3 linked regions of the Xenopus tropicalis genome follow. The protein of the gene in region 1 interacts with the protein of each later gene in a pairwise test. Links are inferred from orthologs where the notes say so. Each region holds a gene or a part of one and is shown on either strand. Other genes may lie near its edges.

Region 1 (3,656 bases):
GGCATGGTACATCCAGAAAGCAGAAACATGTCAGAAAAGGCCTATGCAAACAGAAAACATTTTTACAACTACCTTGTAAGATTTTGTGGTAGGTGTTCAAAATAGAAAACTGTTCCATCTTATTAATCCCTAAATCAAACTTTTTTGTCTTGTGTATCTTGATTTTTCTGTGTGCTTTATAGTGAAGCAGCCGACACGAGTCGTTGTTCATAAAACAGCTTTTGAAAGTTGAGAGCACACCCCTGGAGAACCGACTGTGCTTGCTTACGTTTGGTTCATGACTTAAAATTCGAGTACAGGTGATAAAATCTCGGCAGTGTTAACACAAAAAGTAGTGTATATTGTGCAGTTTTTTTTCTACCCTAGATCAATTAACCAAATTGTTATTAAAAGAAAACAAAGGGATAAGTCAGAATTACTGGCTTAGAATTAAAAGTTAACTGTATATAGTGCTAGAAGCTGGCAGCCAAATATGTGCTTCCAGCAAGCTCAACTGATAGAGCAGGGAGACCGTGTCTGCAAATTGTTTGTTTTAACGTCACAAAACAGTGCATCTAATACTTGGTGGTTTTTCTGCAGGAATAATTCCTGATGAGGCCAAAGCCCTGTCATTGGTGGCGCCAGCTAATGCAGTTGCAGGCTTACTGCCCGGAGGAGGGCTTCTTCCCACTCCTAATCCACTCAGTCAGGTATGTATTACACGTTTTTATGATTTTACAACTTAAAATCAATTATAAGGGTGATAGCAGATGGGAGGTTTTGTCAACAGTGCTTAATGTTCCTTCTGCCAGGGCCCTAAGTTTAACGATAGCCACTTAGCCAAGATATAGACACGTCCAAACATACACATGGAGCAAGAGCAGCTGCAGGGTTTAGAATATGAATTCTGAGTCTGTTGTCCTCCATAAACTGATTAGGCTGTGATTTGTGTCTGTGTTGAGGTGTAGCGGAACATACATGTTTAAAAGAGATCTAACTTTTGATAAAGTAGGGTAGAATGCCGCACGCGTCTAGTATTGTTTTGGAGTTCTGATCCAACCAGAGGCTTTTAGCTGAGTAGATTTAAAGGTACAGTATACACCTAAAAAAACACCTTTGCTAAACATTAACTCAATAAATAAAAAGTGCTTGTGTTGAAATCGCATCCTGCCTATTGTTTTAATTTAAAAAAAAAATCCATATTTTCATATTTGTCACATAAAGCACTAATTTGTATAAACAGGGCAATTTGTTCAGCGGTCCCTATTAAACAAACCAGCACCTCCCTTCTCTAAGCTGTAGACATTTAACAGCTTATTATCAAGGGCTTCTTGGTGGACTGTTAATTCATTGTATCGGTTTCTCTGAAGTTCTCCTGCATCAGAAAGTTACAGGAAGTGCTAAAGTGAAACTGCCTTCATTTTTGTGTTTAGTGCCAGAAATGACAGAAACCATAGATATTATTTAATAAAGTTGAAACCCCATTTATGTGTTTCGGGGGATTGAAATATCAGGGAGATACACTATACATTATATGTTGGTGTGTAAAAATGAGGGAACTATGTAATAGTTATATCTAAACAGTATTTATTGATATTTGTATTTTGTAAAAGAAGATCTATACAATGGTAAAGTTGTGGACATGTGATAATTGTAGGACGTTTTTGCAATTGCACTGACAATTTATACTTATTACCTCACAGAACTCCTAAATTGCTTTAAGAAAAAACTAGATTGTTCTCAACTTGCAAACATAAAGACCAGACATTTTGTTGCTGCTCATATCAAGGCAGAATCCTTTATTCTAGAGGGTGTGTTGTCCCCACAGCTTTATCTCCTCCATTGTGGGTGACAAAAACCATCAGAAATTCTATGAACAAAAGGCAATGCGACTCACTGGTGTTAAAACATCTGAATTATTTAACTGTCAGAAAATGCATTTTCTGTTGGTTACATTTTAGCGTCAAAAATTCACACTGCCTTCTATTCAGAGCAGTTTTCTGATGTTTTATTGACCACAATGGAGCAAATTTAATGGCAGGGATATATTAAATGTGCCATTCCTCTAAAAGACCAAGCCTACTTGCGTTTTGTTACAGGGAAACATTCAGCTTCCAAGTGCCTCTTATGTACAGGACTGTCCTTAAGGGGGCATGGGCCAGGATCTTTCATTTTAATTATCAGGTCAAACACGCCCTCCTGTATATATCCAAACAAATATGTTGTTCATACTATTTTTTGACAAGATAGGGTGGTTGTCGTTTTCATATTACTGCTTTCAGTACAACCTTTTTACCTTCTCTATAGGTTGAAGTGAAACTGTGGCCTCATTGAAAAGTGCTTGACAAATGGTAGAATCTATTATTTTGGCACCAGCACTTCTCAAACAGTGTACTGTATAGGCTATATAAACAGTGATTTTCATAATTGGAATAGTTAACTGTTTGTAGTTGTATACCTAGGGGCTGATTTACTAATCCACGAATCCGAATGGGAAAAATTTGGATTGGAAAACGAACATTTTGCGACTTTTTCGTATTTTTTGCGACTTTTTCGTAGCCGTTACGACTTGCGCTTATTGTCGCGACTTTTTCATAGCCATTACAAATTTCGTGAATTGTCGCAACTTTTTCATAGCCATTATGACTTTTGTGAATTGTCGCGACTTTTTCATAGCCGTTACGACTTTCGCGAATTGTCGCGACTTTTTCGTATTGAGCGCTCGAAAAAGTCGCAAAATACCATTCATTACGAAAAAAACGCATTCGGACGCTTTTCGGACGTTCGTGGATTAGTAAATGTTCCCCCTAGTGTTTGAGGCATTGCAGCCAAATGTCTGTCATGGCCCTTGCAACATTTGAAATTGCTATTTAGGCATATACTAAAACATACAAGAAGTTTACTTTGTATTAACTTCTAAAATTGCCTGCATTGGAGTTGTATATCCATTTTTAGTTTCTAACTGCGCGCTAGATCAGTTTGACTTCTAAGTGTATCCTTCTATTGTTGTACACAAAATCTTGCTAAGCCAAAATAAGCAATTGTGAGAAATATATTTTCTGTATAGCTATGTGTTGAACATTTTTACTTTTTTCCCCACATAGATTGGTGCTGTCCCACTTGCTGCATTGGGAGCCCCTACACTTGATCCAACTCTTGCAGCCCTCACTCTTCCTGGAGCAAACTTAAATTCACAGGTACCTCCTGTTTATAATCTGCTTATTTACTAGGTGGATGTTTGCATGCATGGCTATTTACCTTGCTTGTGTTTCAAATGAAAGCATCCCTTTTGTCTTGAGAACCTCATGTGTGACTCTGTCTCTGTAACTTATTACAGTTTATATAGATTTGTTTAAGGTATTTAAAATCAAAACAGCAAATGTAGAGTGGGCAGAGGAATGCTGAAAACTTTTGCAGGTATTTCTTAAATGGTGCAAAATTATTAATGCAGGTAAATTTGGTGATAAGTTTGTGTGGGGAACCCAAAAATTGATTGTGTTTTTGACTATATAGATCCCCTTTAAACATATCCATTCATATGTAAGATATGTCATATGTAATGTTTTAATCTTCTAAGCTTGTGTATTTTCTTTCAGTCTCTGGCAGCAGATCAGCTTTTAAAGCTTATGAGCACCGTTGATCCAAAGTAAGTTTCCCTAATTCTATTTATTTGTAGG
Region 2 (3,656 bases), on another chromosome or scaffold:
AATTTCCTGTTTTCAGGAGTGTCTTTTCATTTGCTAATTATGAGCAATCATGTCAAGTGATTTAATTTTTTAATTACAATTTTTTCTAAAGCTGATTTCAAAACATAAAAATTAAAAGAAGTTTACAACTTTGAACTTAATTATGATTTTGCCCCCTCAATTGCTAGCATATTTATAAAATATCTTGAATCAAAAAAACTCAATTGTGTTAAGTTGCTGATAAAACCTTGACACAAAAATTGCAAAAATTGCTAGAATGATGAAACACGCCTCTCATTAACTTCTATAGAAACTTACCCGGTTTTAGTTGCTGCCATTTTCACTAGAATATTCAAGACTTGTTTCATTTATAAACTTTGTTTGAAAATGTAGAATTGGAAAAATTGCAAGATCATGATTTTTGCAGTTTTAAAAACACTTTCTTGAATATTAATAATGTGCACCTTAGTGTTTAGCAATAGGATCTATTATCCAGAATGCTTGGGACCTGGGCTTTTCCAGATAAGGGATCTTTTTGTAATTTGGATCACCATACCTTAGGTGTGCTAAAAATATTTAATACATAAAATAAACCCAATAGAATTGTTTTGGAATCCTACAGCTTAGTTACCATCAAACACAGGAATATTTTATTATTGCACAGGAAAAGGAAATCACTTTTAAAAATTACATTTATTTTGTTAAAATGCCCTTCCTATTAATTTGGAGCTTTCTGGATAACGAGTTTCCCGATAATAAATCCCATATCTGCACTTTGTTGATTAATTTTAAGATACCAACCTTAATATGTCATTAGTGCATTTACTATATTTTATGTTTCTGAAAAATAAAATTTCAATCTACGGTGCTTGCAAGTTGATATGTTTTCTCTGTGCCTTCTACAAAGGTCACGTGGTAGGTCTCGGAAATCCCATCGTCATCATCATCGACATTCACGCTCATCAAGCTCAGAACACAGATCTTCAAGCTGTGAAAACAGGTAATAAGCTAATTATCTCTTGGGCTCTTCAATGGTACTACAATCAACCCTAAACTTTTCTTCATGTCTTGTCCCCCCATCTTGTAATGTTATGATGTTATATTAAGTATAAAAACTTGCACATATGTAATAAAAGGCACAAAACTTGCACAGTTGCAACAGCCCATAGAAACCAATAAGGTGTTTGCTTTTAAACAGGTGACCAGGAAATGCTACCTGCTGATTGGCCGCTGTAGATGATAAAAACTGCAGCAGTACCTTAACACTCATTTGTAATTGGCACAGTAACCCAATAAAATGTTTGCCACTAAATGCTTTTTGCTTGGTTGCTATAGGTAATTAGAAAAGTAGCAAACTTTGCACCTTTTACTGCATCTCCCCTTTAGTTTCTTAAAATAACATGAACATAAAAGTTTAAAGGAGAAGGAAAGGTTAAGTCACTTGGGGGTGCCAAAATGTTAGGCACCCCCAAGTGACTTAAATCGCATAATTTTTACCCCGGGCTGGTGCCCCTGTTCGGAGAGAACAGCACCAGCCCGGGGTAGCTGCGAGCGCTTCCTCTTCCGTATTCGCTGCGCGCGCATGCGAAGTTGAGTGAAAAAGCCGAACTTAAACATAGAAGTTGGCTTTTCACTCTACTGCGCATGCGCCGGCCCACGGATTTCGCCGGCAGCTCGCTGCAGGTACCCCGGGCTGGTGCTGTTTTCTCCTAACAGGGGCACCAGCCCGGGGTACAAGGTAAGTGATCTAAGTCACTTGGGGGTGCCTAACATTTTGGCACCCCCAAGTGACTTAGCCTTTCCTTCTCCTTTAAAATATTCTCTTCCGTCTTTTATATTGTCAATTGAGCTTTGCAAGTTGTTATACAATTGTACAATCCCGAGTAACTTACTGGCACTATATAAATGAATGATGATGTTCAAAAAACTTTCTTTTCTTTAATTACAGACTATATGATCAGTCAAAAGAGGAAAAACATCGATCAAAAAGAAAGCGACAAAGATGTAGAAATTCTAGGTCCGTAAACAAGAAAGAGAGGAAAGGCAAAAATCAATACAGCCCCCTGTCAACAAAAAACAGGTGTATGCACTCCACCAATACTGAAGTAAGTAGATCTTTTCAGTCTAAAGTTGCCCTTTTCACAAGGAAAGTGGGTGATTATATAATGTTGTAACTGTAGTGCCAGAAGGGCCTGGAAAATATTTATCAAATCCTCCATTTATTGATTCCTAAAACAAACAGATTTATTAATATTCTTTACCAGAGGCTGTTGAATTGGCACAATGGTGAGACTGCAACATGGGTTTATGTAGTAACACTGAAAAGGTGGGCCAGTCCAGTAACCAATAACAACTAATAAAAAATGTATAGTGAGCATAAGTGCAATTGGCAAACAGCCAATTGCAGGGTCCTCCCAAGTCAATAGGTGTGATTCGGTGTGACCGAAGAATTAATGTCCCTCCAGTGGAATTTCATGGTTCAGGGAAGCAGCGCCTCTCTGTCCACAATAGCGCTTTCTGCACCAGAAGAGCCAAAATCCCAATTTTAAAACATAATTTCTGCTATTTAAATTACCTGGTAACTTGCAGGGTGCTGCTGCCTGAGGTGAGTTTCTCAGCTTGCTCATGGCAGCAGCACCGATGTGTCCCTCTTAACTTTGCAAAAGTGTAGAGCAGCTTTAGGCACAAGGTGGGCAGCCACTACTGCACTTGTGGCTTGTAAATGACATTTCTCAATGCATATTGATGGTAAATCATGTTCAGTTTCCTGAAGAGGGGATGTCAATGTCCTAAAAGTTTGCATGGTTTTCTTAGTAGTATAGCAAGGATATAAAAAATAGTCTCTCCCAGGCTGGGTTGTCCATTTTTTTACTTTACTTCCTATTCAGTTCTTCACCTATTCATATTTCACTCTCTTTTAAATCACTGCCTGGTGACTGGGATAAATAAGACCGCAGCAACCAGATATCTGCTAAAATACCAAACTGGAAATCTGCTGAACAGAAAACTTAACAATTAAAAAACCACAAAAAATAACATAAGACCAAAACTGTCTTAGAATATCAATGTCTACATCATACTAAAAGTAAATGTAAAGGTAAACAATACCTTTTAAGGTGGCCACACACAGGGTGATGTATACAGTATTCCAAATGATCATCCCTGGGCCAAAAGGGTTTCCTATCTATTGGCTGATATTGACTATCATCTCAGCCACTTTTACTTCTGACAGGAATTTGGGCAGATATTGAAATAGCCCCAAAATGCTGCCAATCCCAGGCAGGTCTGCAAGCCCCCCCATGTTATCCCACTTTTCAAGAATCAGGTAAGAATCAGCTAATTTGGTGACCTTGTTAAAACAGGACATACAATTTGGCCATAGACTGCCTAAAGTTTACTTTCAATTTGAATAACTATTGAACTTGACTCATGAGCATGCATCTGTGGCCAGGTCTGATCACTGGGGACCCACCCCATGCAGCCAAAAGATAATAACACAAAGACAGATGGGATCATTAGTCCGCCACAATAATTACCCAATTATTTAAAATCAGATTGTAAGGATATATTTTTAGTATATCCAGTCATAGTTAAAGTTCAACATATTTGGCCAAAAACACCCATATTTTCTGTAGGTGGCTATTTTAACTTGGAGAAGCAAAAGTCTGTTTACAAAC
Region 3 (3,532 bases), about 5.9 Mb from region 1:
GATGGGCTGTGTGCTCCCTCAGAGATCACATGACCAGAAATAATGCAGCTCTAACTGTAACAGGAAGAAGTGTGGAAGCAAAAGGCAGAACCCTGTCCATTAATTGGCTGATGTGGCCTAGCATGTATGTGTGCCTTGGCTTGTTTGTGTGCACTGTGAATCCTAGGAGGCGGCCCTTAATTCTTAAAATGGCAATTTTCTATTTAGGAGTACCCAATAGCACATACTACTAAAAAAAAGTATTTTTTTATGAAAATGGTTTATTTAGATGAAGCAGGGTTTTACATATAAGCTAGTGTATGCAATATATTTTTTATAGAGACCTACATTGTTTGGGGGTATAGTTTTCCTTTAAGCCCCCAAGTCCTTTATTTGTATTGTTTCAGTTACATAGTCATAGGCCTATGCATATGTACCTGATGGGAATAAAATGCCTCAGGCTGTTAAATAAAGTTGCAAGCTGTCCTTTGGTTCTAATGGCCAAAAGAAGTTGCTACTACTATTTTATTCTATATATCTCACTAAGAAAATCAATACAAAGCTTATACTCATCTTGTAAATGTATACTAGGAACTGTTCTGATAAAGCAGTGGTTAAAGGGGGTAAAAATGCAAAAAAAAATATATTTTTTTTTTAAAAAATGTAAATTTTAATTTGGAAAGTTGGATTTACCCTTTTTATAACATAGAAGTCAGACACATAGCGGCCCCCTGCTCCAGCATTTGAAGGCAGACACATTGTGGCCCACTGCAGTTCATTACATTACACAGCGTTGACACATTCTGGCCATCAGCACATCCAGATAGATACATTGTGGCAACCTGCACCAGCATTTTAAGGCAGTCACATTAAGGGACCCATACCAGTATTTCATAACACAGTGTGGCACCAGCATTTCATGGCAGAGCATAGCCCGTAGAATGCAGAAGGATTTATACTCAACTGTAAATTGTTGAGTGGTCCTTGTATAGTTTGGAGTACATGTATACAAACTGTGCCCCCTTCCCCGACACTGTGCCCTAGGCTCCTGCCTACTCTGCCTACCCTTAATTCCCGAGGCAGCCCTCTTTGCACAATGTCTGGCACAGTGTTCAGCATTCGGGTGCATATACACATCAAAAACCTTTCACTTTAGGGCAAAGCAATGCACACGTGTGCCGGAGCCTTGGAGTAGGTGGAGTTCGGGGGTAAATAACCTAAGTGCCTGGTTATGACAAATGCTTATAAGAAATGGCACAGTAGCTATATGGACTAAGACAGTAGGCAATGTTTCTTTAATTCTGTGCTTGCTAACAGCATGTTATTTTTTAGCTGCCTCAATACTGCAGAAAGTGAAAAGACCAAATTTAAAGCTTCAGATGGTAAGTACTGACCTCAAAATACATTGTTTGTGATTGTTTCTCTAGAAAAATATATTTTTATATTCCATCAAAGCTACTACTGATTTGAAGTTGTAATTCTTTGTTTGAATTGTTTATAACTTAATTGCTCATCATAGTATTTCATATAACAGGACCTGTACCATTGGCAGATCATGGGCGGTAACCTGACACAGAATATTAAGACTTATTTTCCTTTAATTGGTGAGCTTTATGGAACTATACTGTATATATCTTAAATCTATTTCTCAATGAACATAAAGGAACTTTTTGCCTATATGTGTAAAATCAATTATATAAAATAACATGTTTTTTAGTACTTAAAATGACCTTTGAAGCAGGGCTGGATATGTAACAATATGCAGGACTGGTTGCAGATCATTTTCACCCCTGCTTATATAATGACACTGAAAAAGGTTAAACTGGCATTTCATTATCAATTCAAACAATTTTTGAGTTCATTTTGATCTGTTCAATGCTGAAACCTTCCCAAGGCTTTAGGTAACCTGCTTCTTGAAAGGTTAGGGGTGGGGACTGGGACTGGGTTGGCAGAACATTTTGCCTCTAAATCTATATAATGTATTTGGGTGCTAAAGTCCTCCCTGCCTCCTACTGTATTTTTCATGCAGTGACATTATTCTTGGAAGTCACAGTACTAATGTTTGTTTGTTTAAAGGAGAAAGAAAGGTAAAAACTAAGTAAGCTTTATCAGAAAGGTCTATGTAAATACAGCCATAAGCACTCACAGACTTCTCTGAAAAAAGATTAGTTGTGTCTGTAATTCCTCTGCCAGAGACACGCAGCTTTCTGTTCTCTGCTCTTTCCTGCTCCCCCCTCCCTCAAGAATGCTAAGCGCTCACTCCCCCCCCTTTAGAAATGTGGATCTGAGCCAATCAGCAGGAAGCTGACTCATAGTCTAACTAACTGAGCATGTTCACTAGGTCTGCATGTCTGTGCAGGAGTGAGGCATTATGGGAACTTTCTTTACAGAGCTCAGCGTTTTTTCTTCCTGTTTGGCTTCTGATCATCTGAACAGGTGAAATATGGGGAGACTTAAGGGCACTATTGAGAGAACTGAAGGTATGCCTGCAGCTTGAGATTAACTCTTTACTAGCCTTTCCTTCTCCTTTAATATGATATAAATTATATATAAATGATGAATGTGACAGAATCCCTTTAACACGTAGCATTCCCTATGGCTTTTAAGAGTGGCAGCAGTTTATTCCAACTACAGTAGTTTGAACCAGGATACAAATTATTCTTTCTTTTGTTTCCCTTTGCCATTGAGCCTGTAGTGAAAGGGAAGAAAATGAAATATATCTTTATATTACTATTAACGGTTGTCTAAAGTAGAAAGGTGACTTAGGTGACTTAGAAAGGTAGTTATTGTGATGCTACCACTTTATGTGGATTGTAGTTGTATGTTTAACAGGAGGGGGGTAAGCAGCAAACAATGGACATTTGTAAAAAAAAAAAAAAAAAGTTTTCGAATACCGTATTTTTCACCATATAAGACGCACCTTTTCTTCCCCAAAACTGGGGGGAAAAAGTTGGTGCGTCTTATACGGCGAAGTATCTTCCTCTCTGTGCCGCGGCTCTCTGCCGCATCCTCGCTTTTATAAGGTTGCGCCCGTGCGTACTGACGTCACACGCACAGGGCGCAACCTTATAAAAGCACAGAAGCAGCTGGGAGCCGCGGCACAGAGAGGAAGACATCACGGGAGCCAGAGGCCGCTGGGGGTAGGTTAGGGGGGAAATGGAAGGTGCTTGGGGGCCCTGGGGGAAGCTGAAGAATGCTGGGAGTGCCGTGGGGGACCTGGAGGATGCTTGGAGGCCCTGGGGGACGCTGAAGGATACTTGGGGGGGCCCTGGGGGAAGCTGAAGGATACTTGGGGGGGCCCTGGGGGAAGCTGAAGGATACTTGGGGGGGGGCCTGGGGAGAGCTGAAGGATACTTGGGGGGGCCCTGTGGGAAGCTGAAGGATACTTGGGGGGGCCCTGGGGGAAGCTGAAGAATACTTGGGAAAGCTGAAGGATACTTGGGGGGGCCCTGGGGGAAGCTGAAGGATACTTGGGGGGGCCCTGGGGGAAGCTGAAGGATACTTGGGGGGGGCCTGGGGGAAGCTAAAGGATACTTGGGGGGGGGCCTGGGGG

What was found. The genes of interacting proteins can lie anywhere in the genome.
Region 2: the proteins of srsf11 (region 1) and srrm4 interact in binary tests that used the Homo sapiens proteins (3 or more experiments, as listed by UniProt). The link is inferred for Xenopus tropicalis from reciprocal best matches to the Homo sapiens genes SRSF11 and SRRM4.
Region 3: the proteins of srsf11 (region 1) and hyi interact in binary tests that used the Homo sapiens proteins (3 or more experiments, as listed by UniProt). The two-hybrid records come from large-scale screens. The link is inferred for Xenopus tropicalis from reciprocal best matches to the Homo sapiens genes SRSF11 and HYI.

What each region holds. Positions count from the first base shown.
Region 1 is NC_030680.2:82,762,693-82,766,348, reverse strand, and holds part of srsf11 (serine/arginine-rich splicing factor 11), read left to right. Parts: exon of another isoform or gene 1-299; intron 300-579; coding exon 580-689; intron 690-3,083; coding exon 3,084-3,176; intron 3,177-3,575; coding exon 3,576-3,625; intron 3,626-3,656. UniProt on the Homo sapiens protein: May function in pre-mRNA splicing.
Region 2 is NC_030677.2:165,776,441-165,780,096, forward strand, and holds part of srrm4 (serine/arginine repetitive matrix protein 4), read left to right. Parts: intron 1-886; coding exon 887-979; intron 980-1,927; coding exon 1,928-2,084; intron 2,085-3,656. UniProt on the Homo sapiens protein: Splicing factor specifically required for neural cell differentiation.
Region 3 is NC_030680.2:88,655,399-88,658,930, reverse strand, and holds part of hyi (putative hydroxypyruvate isomerase), read left to right. Parts: intron 1-1,311; coding exon 1,312-1,361; intron 1,362-1,513; coding exon 1,514-1,583; intron 1,584-3,532. UniProt on the Homo sapiens protein: Catalyzes the reversible isomerization between hydroxypyruvate and 2-hydroxy-3-oxopropanoate (also termed tartronate semialdehyde).